Linked DNA regions of Mytilus edulis. The protein of the gene in region 1 purifies or fractionates together with the protein of each later gene. This does not show direct contact. Links are inferred from orthologs where the notes say so. Each region holds a gene or a part of one and is shown in the gene's direction. Other genes may lie near its edges.

Region 1 (7,082 bases):
TATTCAGGTCAATTCTCAATAATGAATATTTGCTTAGTTTTCAAGGCGGCCATTTTGAAAATAGCCACCATTTTGTATTTCAAAGATAGATCAAAACAAAATCTTGCTAAGTACACCAAGTCATTCAAATATGTTGATTTTAGTGCTTCCAGCATCTAATCCACTGTGCAATACTGGAAAATATTTTAGAACGTACGGCAGCCATCTTGAAATAATCCGCCATATTGAATTTTGAGGGTGGGTCCATAGCTAATATTGCTCAGTACAAAAAAAAATGTACCATCATGCAAAAATTGGTGCTTTCCTCATTATTTGAGCAATTTTTTCACCGATCGGCCGGGCTATAAAAGCTTCCAGAAAACCTACAAAAACTAAGACATTATTAAACCATCAATCCCTGATATTGCGTTCTTCATATCTAACAAACAAATAAAAGAAGGCTTTGACTTGCATGAAGCAAATATTGATCAAATGAAATTAGATATCCTGATTTAGTATATTCATCAAATAAGCTATAATTTTTGCATGTGTGAATTACAGAATTTATTGCTCAAATATTGTGAATTAATTTCGCTGCCTTTTTTCCTTTTTTCATTTAAAGTATTATTAACAAATTAGACCCCCACTTTATATTCCCAAATTTTCCAGGCCCCCTTAATTTATCCTTCCCACTTTCAGGTTACAAATGACCAGTCCCTTGAAAATGTAAACGAGTTACGATAAATATGTTATTTTAATCAGATTGAACCCCCCTCCCTTCCTGACAAAATACGAACGGTCGGTGCTTTAGTAAAACTGCATTTCAAATTCTTGGAGTGTTTGCCACGATGTTCATTTTGAATTTAAAAAAAAAGGGACAGTTATGGACACTTTTTGCCTTCACATAGGCGGATCCAAGGGGGCCCTGGGGGGCCCGGGCCCCCCCTTTCGTGGGAAAAATTTGGTTGAGTATATAGGGAATCACTGAAGCATGACTGGAGCGGGCCCCCTCTTAGGCAAAGTTCTGGATCCGCCACTGCTTCAATCAGGCAGTCAGAATGTAACATATAATTCAACAACGCCCATATGGATATTAACATATATATGTTAACATTTATCTGTTTTATTATTAATTAAAAAATACAACAACAAAACACAGATGTTTAGTACAAACCAGCAGGTCATAAAAACATGTATTTCTCAAAATAAGTCAGTTGTTAGTAAAAAGGATGTCCGAATACAGACAAAGGAAAAAACAAAGGAAAATTGATAGGATCAAGCTTTTTTGTGATTGGTTTAGCATTTGTTGATATATATCTGTGTTGTGATGTTTTATTTCTTGGCTAGTATAACATGTACCGAGAAATTAAACAGGCAATATATATGCCCGAAGTTTTAGAATTCGTTCATACAGTTTTGTATTATTCAAAATTATTAGTCAGTACAAGGATCACCAATCATTCACCTTTCATTTGATACCTTAACAACTAAAATATATTCTACATAGCTTTATATTACACCTTATGCGTAGAAACTATTTTGTTTTAAATATGTTATACTTTCCTGTATGTTTTTTTATAATGCTCGATTTGGCTGTGATACATCTTACAAAGTCTATCCTAATCATTTTGCCCCATATCTTTTTTTCTATTACAAATTGTTTACTAGTACTTCAGAATAATAAGCACTTTTACCAGTGAGCATAGAATAATTTTGGAAACCCGAAGACCTGCGCGGTACACAATTTGAGTTGTGTGTGCTCCTGATATTATTTATATATAATTTAAAATTGTTACAAAAATTTTAAAACTTGTGATCCCCCTTCTGTCATCCCATAAAAAAAAATATATGTTAAACTTATTTATTTTGAAGGTATGAATTAAGGTAGCAGAGGTTTGACGACATTAAATTCTCATAAATTGATTAATAGGATGACAAATAGATAAAAAAAAAAAAAACCACACAAACTGAACTTGAGGACTTGCTCGAATTCAAATGGAGCGTGACTTGGTGCGTCGACTGGGTAAATGACTATGCTTTCGGGTGGGGGAGGGGGGGGGACGTAACATTTGGAAAAAAGTAAAATAACAAAAATACCGAACTCCAATGGAAATTCTAAACTGAAAGTCTGATTTTTTTCAAGTCCTGATCTTGAAATAATAAAATAAAATAAAGACACCCCCCATCCTTTCCAAAGACAAAAAAAAATCATCCCATCATCTCTCAATACTTGTGTTCGTTACAACAAACCATACAATGCTTCGAAAATCTGCAAAATCTGAGACATCAAACCATCCATCCCTGATATAGTCGTTCTTCATGTCTAACAAACAAACAGAAGATGGCATGACTTGCATATAACAAATATTGAAATGAAATTTGAAGTAAAAAATGATAACACAAGAGATATAGAAAAAACATCTGAATCGCGTATTAGATATTCCTGCTGAAAATAGTCAATCAAATACTGATTTAGTGTATTCATCAAATTAGCTATGGTCGTATTGTAGTCTCTTTGACACGATTCCGCGTGTCTATTGTCAATTTTAACTATATGATTTTTGTAGGCTTGAAATATATTTATATAGAATTGTTCGAATCCTGTGAGCAAATTTTGATCCCCCCACACCCATTTTCAAGTATTGGAAAATTAGACTAAACATCTTTAAATTTTTAAAACTTATCAAGGTCCCCTTAACTTCTTCCCCTTTCTTAATGTTACAAATGACCAGTTCCTAAGTAAACGATTTACGATAGAAAGTGTGTTATTCATATTGAACATCCCTCCCTCCCCCAAGAAAAGATGAACGAAAGGTTCCTTAGTAAAACTGAATTTCAAATTCTTGCAATGTTTGCCACGAAGTACATTTAATGAAAAATGGAGAGTTATGGACACTTTTCTCATTCAATCCGACAGTCAGAGTATAACACATATGTCAACTATCTCAGTCAACTATATCTATAGCCTATAGAAGTACGAATATTAATATTTGTTTTTCTCTTTTTTTTAATTTTAAACATATAAAAATCAAATGTTTAGTACAAACCAGCAGGTCATAAAAAAACATAAATTTCTCAAAAAAAGGTCAGTCGGTTAGTAAAAGGATGTCCGAACACCGGCAAAGGAAAAAACAAAGGGAAATTGATAGGATCTAGTTGATATCTTTAGCTATATGGTGGTGTCATTTCTTGACTAGTATAGCATGTATAAATTGTTTACCTGAGAATAATGTCCACTTTTACAGTGGGTATACCATAATTTTGCAGTCCTGAAGACCCGCGCGGTACGCAATTTGAAGTTATGTGCTCCTGATATATATTTTTATCATGTTTTTTTATTTTTTATCATGGTTTTTTTTTTTTTTTTGTTCGAATGATGAATGGATAAAAAAAAAAAGAGAGATGTTGGTGTACGTTGACGAGACAGCAATCCATTAAAACAAAAATAAGACATATCGTCGCTGTTATGCAAAAACCTCGTATCTCAATTTTTTGTGGAAATCTTTTTATTGATTATTTAGAATTAAATATGTATGTTCGAAAATATCTGATCTTCTAACCAATCATTAACCTGAATTCTGACATGTGACGAAAAAGTGTAGTCGGATTGGTGAGACATTTTGTTGTTCGAAAATATCGTATCTCAAAAGAAAAACACACGGCACGGCAGCTGACATCATAACAGCTACAGTTTAATCAATTTTAGGTTCTCAAAGCTAATAAAGCTTAGAAATAATGTGAAAAGCTTTCAAAATACAATATCGGTGCAGACATTTTTGCTCGTCGATTGCAATGGTTAGAAGATCAGAATTTTTCGCACACAGTGGAACATACACACAGAATAAAAACAAATAGTAGAATAATTGCAGAAACAAAAACATAATATAATCATGTTCATAAAAAGATAACAAAATAAGAGTTATTTCTAAAGATTAAGAAAAAAAATCTTAAAAATTACAATTAAGGAAACTAAAGGCTCCCATCCAGACCCTTAGTTTGTTTGTTTGTTTTTCTTTTGGTCATGGAGGTGCGTGTCCTTCGATGATTTATCGTATGGAAATTGATAATTTGTCAATAACAATTTTAAAACTCTTGAAGTTTTCAATGTTAGTCCGGAATTTGAACGGTTCATTTTATTTTGTGTATTATTTGACATCCGGCAATTCAGCATACCTGGCAAAAAAAGTACGAAATTGGTACTCTCTGGGTAAGTTGACTGATTCTTAAACCAATGTATTTACTCTTTCTTTCTGCTGGTAAAATCTTGGACTTCCAGTAATTATTAGAGGTCAAAACAAAAGAAAATAAAGGAACTATTTGAACAGGTGTTTTCAATATCACTGCGCGTCTACTCCTATTTTTAGCAGGTCAACTCACCGGTAATAAACTTGGGAAATAAAACAGAGAAACACCTTCAACACACAATTACTGGATACAATTTTTGGTAAGAATTTATAATAATTTAGTACAAAAGGATGACAAATCGTCAATTCGTGACAACATTTTTACAAACTCTGAAATTAACCCTAATATCCACACCTGAATATACAGGTAAAACATGTAAAAAGTCATACTTGATAATTCCAGGTAAAAAGGGTTTTCTAAATTTTTTATCAATGACTTGTTTGCAGTATGTTGTAATCTGATATAATTCAAGGGTTTTTGACGTTTAAAATGATGTCAGAGCTACAAAAGCAAACTTTCAAATTTAGGTGACACACCCTTTCAATTCAATATAGATTATCACATATATTATAATACATATAGGAGATTATCTGGTAATTAATATCATTGTTACTGTTTAACCCACATGTCTATAGCTTGCTTAACAGGATGTGATACAGACAAACAAATATTGAAGGGGGAAGTTCACAAGCAAATGACAAGTCTATTTTATCATTAAATTTCCTTGTTTACTTTTTGCCAGTGATTGAAAACTCCAATAATCATTATAATGATCTGAAGTTTCAAATCCAAATTGAATGCATTGACAGAAGCAGCCAATGCATTCAGTGGCGGATCAAGAACTTTTTGTATGGGGTGCCGGTGGGGTGGGGGCAATGACTGACGGTGGGCCCTCTCCATTTATGCTTCAGTGATTCCCTATTCAATCAACCCCTGGATCCTCCTTTGGCAATGAAGGTTAAGTTTTTTGTTTTTATTTAGTTGTATAAATGACAATATCCACCACTGGTCAATGCTACACTTTTCAAATACATGTAGACCATGTAGACAAACAATTGTTTATTTAGAACATGATAAATAAGGTGGTTATTTTTCTCAATTAAATATGGTTTCATATTATTCAAGTTAGGTAAGATCTTTTAAAGCCAACTATACAGTATGTTTTTTCTCATTGTTGAAGACTATCATGACTATATATATATATGGTTTCCCATAATTCCACTTTATTTTTAAATTTTTGTTGTCTCATTGGCAATGACATACACTATCTCCTTATTTTCATCATGTTCATATTGGCACACAAACTAAGTATCAATCAGCAGTACATGTATGTATTTTAGAATTGCAAAGTCTAAACCAGTTTTATTTAAATGTTTTGTTGCTGGGCTTAATTTTCTTCAATGTTTACAAAACTTTATCACTTCTGTTTAATTTGCAAATTTGCTGAAGGTTAAATAAAATTGAGAATGGAAATGGGGAATGTGTCAAAGAGACAACAACCCGCCCAAATAAAAAACAACAGCAGAGGGTCACCAACAGGTCTTCAATATAGCGAGAAATTCCCGCACCCCGAGGCGTCCTTCAGCTGGCCCCTAAACAAATATATACTAGTCCAGTGATAATGAACGCCATACTAATTTCCAAATTGTACACAAGAAACTAAAATTAAAATAATACAAGACTAACAAAGGCCAGAGGCTCCTGACTTGGGACAGGCGCAAAAATGCGGCGGGGTTAAACATGTTTGTGAGATCTCAACCCTCCCCCTATACCTCTAACCAATGTAGTAAAGTAAACGCATAACAATACGCACATTAAAATTCAGTTCAAGAGAAATCCGAGTCTGATGTCAGAAGATGTAACCAAAGAAAATAAACAAAATGACAATAATACATAAATAACAACAGACTACTAGCAGTTAACTGACATGCCAGCTCCAGACTTCAACTAAACTGACTGAAAGATTATGATTTCATCATATGAACATCAGGCACAATCCTTCCCGTTAGGGGTTTAGTATCATACCATCATAACATATATGAGAAGAACATAACCTGTGTCATGCCAACAACTGTTTTTAGAATAAATGTGTTTAGTTCCGATGCAAAGACCTTATCAGTGACTCAATATTAACGCCAAAATATGCAATCTTTAATGACTTGACAACAGTATCGTAATTATATCCCTTCTTAATAAGTCTATTCAAAGGTTTTGTAAGTTTCTGAGGTGAATACTGACACCTTTGTGCTTTATAAAGAATATTACGATAAAGAATATATATATATATGGTGTGTCAATTGAACAAAGAATTTAATATTAATCCTTTCTTTCAACTAAAATAACCTCAGGTAATCAAATTGTGTACTATATAAGATAAAGGTTAAAAAATAAATATCTCGAATAACAAAAGATGACATAATTAACTGTAATTTCCTTACCTAGCACTTACCTGTCAATAACAAGTCAATTAACAACATGGTATACACCTGTCCTCACCTGGTGGGAATAAAACAATTACATGTACATGTAACTATAACACAATTGAAAAAGTTATAGTATTTCATGTATTTGTTTATTGATATTGGTCAATGGTGTCTATACCATTTGTAATGTATAATACACAGAGCAGTAATTAGTTGTCTACCACAATTCAATGACAGATTCTGAAATATCTTCTACTAATTTTAAGGTAATTATGGTGTCTGCTTGGAAAAGATTTGCTCAAATAACCAAAGATTCCATCATTTTACTTATTGACAAAATGCTCAAGGTGCATGCAGTTGCATTGGTTAATTTAAACCTCTCTCAGACTGTGATTTTTTAATGTCAAGTGAACTTTTTTTTTCTTTTTTTTTGTATACATATTTTTTCCCAGATTTATTTCATCATGTTTATCATACCCTAAAAGCCCAATTTGA
Region 2 (7,414 bases), on another chromosome or scaffold:
TATGATTGCAATGTGTTACACTGTTTATATTTAAATTCTTCTGTTAATTTTAGGGGTATTAGATATTAACGTAACATAGACTTTGACAGGACTGCATCCCATCTTTGAAAGTTATCATTCAAATGTCTAGAATGGTTTATTTTCATTAGATTTGTCTTCTATAAAATGACATATAAATCATCAAATATTCAGTTATCTTCAAGTCAGTTGAAAAATAATGGTTTAAACTTTCATAATTTACTGCCATTAAAACCCTTTCCTCTCAATAAAACAAATCATCAGGTTAAAAGTATAAATGCATTGCGAAAAAACAAATGTTTCATCAATGAAATTCAAGTCAGATATTCTCATGAATATCCTTTTTATATTAGATACAATTTTTTTCAAGTCTGATAAAGTTTTGTCGTAGGCAATATATTTGAACTGAGGCACTACACAGGCGTTGAAAGGCGTCATTATGGAGGAAAGATTTAAAAAACAAGGCATTTTTCTAACATTTTAAATTTGCATTGTAATTCCTGATCACAGGAAATAGCTGATCAATTTTTTAAAACAATACAATATTTTGCCAGTTATTTTTATTTTCTTAATCTGTGGAATAAAACATGACTATTTTGCAATTTTCTCAACATGTTTTAGTTCAAGACTGAATACACTTTCAATAGAAAAAATAAAGGCCCTTAAAACACACTTTTGGTATGAAATAAAGACTTAAACATAGTCATTATACATGCATGAAGATTAAAGAACAGTTTTTTTTGTCAACTATGTATAAATAAACAGTTCTTAGAATATTTCAGAGTTAAATAATATAATGGAAATGCTGTTAATATATACCTTTTATAAAATAAAGCTTACACATCAACATACAAAATTAACATCGAGTGAAAGGTTAACAAAATATATATCATCTAAGAAATGTGATGAAAAAAAATAATAATGTACAAAATTTAAATCATGTTATAAATGTACAAATTTCATGAATTGGAAACTAGTCATTTTACAGCTTAATATTATACAGAGTTATTTTGTCCCCTAGATCCAAGAGATATATGTTTGACAAATTTCTTGGTTTCTTTTTACTGCATCTATAAAGAGCAGCATGAAAAAGAATATGGTTTGTCATAGAAATTTACACATGGCATATTTTTTACATTAGTGACCATAAAACTGAATGAATAGAAACAAAAGTGATGCTGTCAATTATTGGAGTTTAAACTGTATCTATGTAGATTCAAAGAAGATTTTTTTTTTAAAAGCAGATTGCCTATAGTAGCAAAATTATCACAGAAAAAAACTTATACATTGTTTATATTGATAAACATTTACAAACATTATTGAACTAAGGTCATGCTTCATATGCTTTTAAAAAAAAATCATTATTTTACGAAATATCAGCGAAATGTTGCTACTTTTTTGTTCTGGTTTGAAATAAAAGTATGTTGAAGTAATAGTTGGGCCAAGAAAATGTTTTGATAATTTTTTTGGGATTGTATTATTTTAAGTGAACTGTTATGGCGTATTTGATCCATACTTCAATTAGTATGGTGTCGGCAATCATTATGATGTTGAAATTTTAAAATGGGGAAACATTTTCTCCACAAAAACTCATAAAATAAATGTGATAACTTAAATTTTGTGTTGTTTTCAGTCATATTATTACTAGATAATAGATTGTCCTGTAATTATTAGAAATAAATTTGTCATATTCATAGATATAAGAAGATGAGGTATGAGTGCCAATGAGACAACTCTCCATCCAAGTCACAATTTATAAAAGTAAACCATTATATGTCAAAGTACTGTCTCAACACGAAGCTTTGGCTCACACCAAACAGCAAGTTATAAAGGGCCCCAAAAAATAATTAGTGTAAAACCATTCAGACGGGAAAACCAGCAATCTATATAAAAAACAAGAAACGAAAAACAATTATGAATCACATCAACAAACCACAACTACAGAACATAAGAAACCTGACTTACGACAGGTGCAATCAATTGCCGCAGGTTTAAATGTTTGAATGGTACCAAACCTAAACCTGGCTCACACCGAACAGCATTAAGCTATATAAATTATCAAAGGTACCAGGATTATAATTTAATATGCAAGACGCATACATGAGACTCATCAGTGACACTCAAAATAGTTAAAAAGCCAAACGGGTACAAAGTTGAAGAGCATTGAGGACCCAAAATTCAAAAAAGTTGTGCCAAATACGGCTAAGGTAATCTATTCATGGAATTAGAAAATCCTTTTTTTTTCTCGAAAAATTCAAAGTTTTGTAACAGGAAATTTATAAATATGGCCATATATATCTTGTCAACACCGAAGTGCTGACTACTGGGCTTGTGATACCCTGTGGGACGAAACGTCCACCAGCAGTGGCATCGACCCAGTGGTGTAAATAGTCATCAAAGGTACCAGGATTATAATTTTATCCCCAGACGCGTCTCCTCTACATACGACTCATCAGTGACACTAATATATATAAGCCAAATGACGTCTTCAACACCAAGCCTTGGCTCACACTGAACAGAATTAAGCTATATAAGCCAAAGTACGTCCTTCAACACGAAGCCTTGGCTCACACCGAACAGCAAGCTATAAAGAGCCCCAAAATGACTTGTGTAAACCTATTCAAACAGGAAAACCAACAGTCTAATCTATATTTAAAAAAAACGAGAAGCGTGTATGAACCTCACCAACAAATGACCACCATTGAACAACATGTTCTTATCTATTGGTAATGTTGTTCCACAGAGTAATTGCTATTTGACAGTTTGATTATTTGGAGTCTGGTACTTACCTGGGTGCCATCATCATGGTATTCATGGCCATATATATCTTGTCAACACCGAAGTGCTGACTACTGGGCTTGTGATACCCTGTGGGACGAAACGTCCACCAGCAGTGGCATCGACCCAGTGGTGTAAATAGTCATCAAAGGTACCAGGATTATAATTTTATCCCCAGACGCGTCTCCTCTACATACGACTCATCAGTGACACTAATATATATAAGCCAAAGTACGTCTTCAACACCAAGCCTTGGCTCACACTGAACAGAATTAAGCTATATAAGCCAAAGTACGTCCTTCAACACGAAGCCTTGGCTCACACCGAACAGCAAGCTATAAAAGGCCCCAAAATGACTTGTGTAAACCTATTCAAACAGGAAAACCAACGGTCTAATCTATATTTAATTGAGTGTCTTCTGAATAGTGTGGTAATTGTCCAAATTCCAAATGATGATTTTGATTGAAAAAAAGTGGTCTTTGAATTTTTTGAAATGTTCAGATATATCAGCTTGGATAATTTGCTTCAGCTTAGAAAGCTCTGATTTCGAGAAGCTTGGGGTTTCTGCAATTACTTTTTGAATCAGCTGATACAATAAGAATAACAATGTAAAAAAAACTTAAATTAGCTTAATCGATCCTTTGATGGTATGTTCTGTAATGCAAAATATGCATTTTTTATAGATTTTTAATGATAACTTGGATTGCATTTTTTCTAACACAAACCATGCAAACGGCTAAGCGTGCATGTGTTTTGATCATTTCTTTCAAACATATGTTTGTAAAGTTTGCATAAACTTTGACAAACTAGGCAAACGATAAAAATGCGTCTGCAGTTAGTTGTTTGTTAGGACACACACTACATTTGTTTCTTACTTCAATCTGATTAAACGAAGTATTTGTTTCTATGCGTTTGTAGAAAGTCTGTTTACCAACAACATGTGCATGCCTTATTGAAGTTCAAACAGGGTCAGTAAAGACTTATTAAACGATGTATTTGTTTCTACTTTTGTAGCGTTTAGAAAACAACAACAAACGCGACACAACATTTACAAAAAGAAATGCGGCCTTCATATTGAAATTTTATTGATCTTGAAAACTTTATTTGAATTCGGCATGATATCAAACAATGAAACCGATTTGACTGAATATGAAAACCTGAGACTACTATAACACATATACCACATAGTGTTATAGTAGTCTCAGATGAAAACATATAAAAAAATGTTTCAAAACATGATGTACATATAACACATAAAGCGATGAATTATCTAAAAAGTAAGGTTTCTGTGAAAGTTTACAAGGAACTGCTGTCTCTCACTGAATCCTAAACATGAGATTTCTAACAAGACTAAACAGAAGGATGTCTGGTATTATTATGTCCCCTTTTTTATAAATGCAACACACTGGGACAATAAAATTATAAGAAATTTACTGATAGAAAAGCTGATAATGAAACTAAACAATTTAAATTGCAAGCTGGTTATGATACAAATAGAAAAAAATATTCCAAGTAAAAAGTAGATACTGTATAATTAAATTATAATAAAAGTATAACTTTTAGTAAGTTGTGCTTTTTGTGAAAGCTTTTACTTTTTTCTATACAGGGAACCAGTGTAAAATTTATGTTAAAGTCGTGCGCTTGCGCATAATCTGAATCCAACATGAAAGTACAAAATGGCGACAACATTCAGCACCGGAACACAGAGCCCAACATCACATAAACCCCTAGAAAAGATTTTCGACGAAGCTCAGTCAACCGGGGCAGTGTGTTTATGTGGCAGAAAATTAAGAGAATATCCAAAGATCTCGTCTAGATATGATTTAGTTGATACAATCTCTGCTGGTGAGTGCCCCTTCGACTTCCCCAGTCAACCAGTGTTTACAAAATTATGTTGGTTTATTGTAGTAAAAAGTTGTCAACCAGCGTATTTTGTATATTGCTAAGCAAATATCATCTTCGTCCCCTCTCATGTCCATGAATTTATATGTTATGGTTATACACACTAAATCCAAATTTCCTTGACAGTCTGGACGTTCCATGATACTGATAGTTGATATCATAATATAATTTTTGGAGTATTTCAAATTGTCTTACTGCAAAATTATTTTATTATTATTTAACTTATATTCATACATGTGAATTTTTGCTGTAGCCTGTTTTATCAGTTAAAAGAAAAACTAGCCACACTGAAACAGGTTTCCCATAAAAGGCTCAATATATAGTGGCCATCAATAAGGCTTTGGAGCACAGCTAAGGTTGAGTCTTGAGAGAGTGGTTTCTCAAGTAAAGCGTATCAAATATAATCATAGATATAGGCTTAAGCAATCAACAACTGACATTATCAAGATGCTTTATTTCTTGATTGACAACATATTTGTGACATTTGGAGAACTTGTTTTTCAACAAACTATCAGGGCCTTTTATAGCTGACTATGCGGTATGGGCTTTGCACAATGTTGAATGCTGTACAATGACCTATAGTTATTAATTTCTGTGTCATTTTGGTCTCTCATGGGGAGTTTTCTCATTGGCAATCATACCACATCTTCTTTTTTTATATCTGCATTCAGATGGGAACTAACTGTGCCCCTCTTCTTGTCGACTTGTTCCTGTACAGGAATTTCTTAAGAAGTTAGAATTATCCTTTAACTTTACTTTCTGATGGAAAGATGATGTGGAAGCAGGAAAAATTGCTGCTTTTTCACCAACTCGTCCCACTTTAAAAAAAATCGGAACACTTGTGAAAAGGGTTGCATGTACATCCCGTAAATTTTTCTCCTGCCAACTTGCCCCACTTAAAGGGGCACTAGCTAGGAGATATATAAAAAATCTTATACATTATTATTTTTGCACAATCATTAGTGAAATGCAAATAGTGAAATAAGATTTCACTTTTAGCACCCAGTATGTACATGTATGGTTCAATTTTGTCAAAATAAGCGACAAAAACATTAATTAATAAGTGATGAATGTGTCAGCGAGTGTGTTTAGCTTGGGTCGGCGTTTTCAATCTCCAAGTCACAATGGAAGAGCGTATATAAATGAAGACTTTCATGACTTTAGAATTGAATTTAAGTCATCAAAATAAAACTATGCCTTTACAGAAATGCCTTCCATCTCAACTTGTTAGCGACAAGCACAGTTTTTAATTAACCCAAAGGTGGTGGAAATTGATTTTGGAGTTACTTCCCCTGTTTTAGCTTATTACAAATTTGTGCTCTAAAAATATTATCTAGTATCAAAAAAAGGAATAAATTACCAATTGAATATATAATAACATAATAATGTTACCTTAAAGATATTAACTGTCTTTGAACATATTAAAAAATATATATTGCAATTTCTACTTGATAATTATACTTTTAGCAATCCATGTTCTAAACATTGTTAAATTAGTAAGGCTTTCAAGTTCATTTCTTACCGACCGTGCCAGGGCTGTATAGCCAGTCAAGGTCGTTAAACACCACCATATATATATCAGTTCATATGATGTATTAAAAGCTATAATTTCTATATAGATAAAAAAAAAACAAAAAAAAAAACACATATTCTTTGATAATGGGTAGAGTGAAGTTAAACTGTAAAAACATGATATGTTGATGAAGATGTACTATATCATTCATAACTACACAAACAATGAAATAAAGACTATAGTTGAAAAGCATCTTTATTTAAAAAAAACAACATATACAGTAAAAAAAAAAAAAGAGATTCGTTAACTCGTGATACACACAGAAACGTAGACAAAAAAAATGAGCAGTGCCTTTTCTTATCATAAAAAGTGCCCTGCCCTCCACTGGCACCCTGCCCCTTTTGATTTCTAGCTAGAGCACTGATTATGAATTATCCACTTGCAAGTGAATAATTCAACCTCATTAAATCGGTTTTAATGTGAGCTTCAACTAAACCCCTTAGCTTGAGATGGATAACATGTGAATTGTATGTGTAAAGTTATTTAAAGGAAAAGAATGTCAACATTGAAAGTGAAACAAAGGTAAATCATTTGATTGACTGATTAGATTCACAAAAAAGTCATTGTTACACAGGTAAAAACAATGATAAACATTTATTTTATCATGTGAAATTAAATAGACCTAGAAAAATCCAGCAACATGAGTTTGCTAATTTATTTATATCTATAATATATATATATGTTTACATCGCTTATATGGTCATCAGATGACTTTAGAGGTCAACTCAATAGTTAAGATGGTACCTAACACTACAGGGAGATAACTCTGTAAAATCAGCAAAACTTTTTGATTACATTGTGTGGTTAATGTAATATTAAGCTTCTCAATGATCAGAATAAGTTTTTGACAAACTGCAATACAACAAGTGTATTTTTTCTGATTAAATGGTTGGTTCAAATTTTTATACCTTTGTCAAAGGGTCAAAGTAAACACTATGTTAGAATTGAAATAAAGTTAAACGAGCCAAATTATTTTAGGCCGTGTTCACACCAAACACCGTGTAGAGTAAACATGTTTACAATTAGTTTAGTGTAGTGTGCACTGGTTTCACATTACATTTGTTCACATCTATACACCTTGTTTAGCTACCTGTACATAAGATTTGTTCTCACTTGTAAACTATGTGTCATTTAAATGTTCAT

What was found. Proteins that work in one complex are often made in the same cells at the same time.
Region 2: the proteins of unconventional myosin-VI-like (region 1) and leucine-rich repeat and calponin homology domain-containing protein 2-like purify together in Homo sapiens (co-immunoprecipitation; 3 studies listed by BioGRID and IntAct, with this or other methods). This does not show direct contact. The link is inferred for Mytilus edulis from reciprocal best matches to the Homo sapiens genes MYO6 and LRCH3.

What each region holds. Positions count from the first base shown.
Region 1 is NC_092353.1:45,604,262-45,611,343, reverse strand, and holds the start of unconventional myosin-VI-like, read left to right. Parts: upstream 1-4,057; 5' UTR 4,058-4,186; exon of another isoform or gene 4,187-4,423; intron 4,424-7,082. UniProt on the Homo sapiens protein: Myosins are actin-based motor molecules with ATPase activity. Unconventional myosins serve in intracellular movements. Myosin 6 is a reverse-direction motor protein that moves towards the minus-end of actin filaments.
Region 2 is NC_092346.1:79,333,679-79,341,092, forward strand, and holds the start of leucine-rich repeat and calponin homology domain-containing protein 2-like, read left to right. Parts: upstream 1-4,408; 5' UTR 4,409-4,472; coding exon 4,473-4,641; intron 4,642-7,414. UniProt on the Homo sapiens protein: As part of the DISP complex, may regulate the association of septins with actin and thereby regulate the actin cytoskeleton.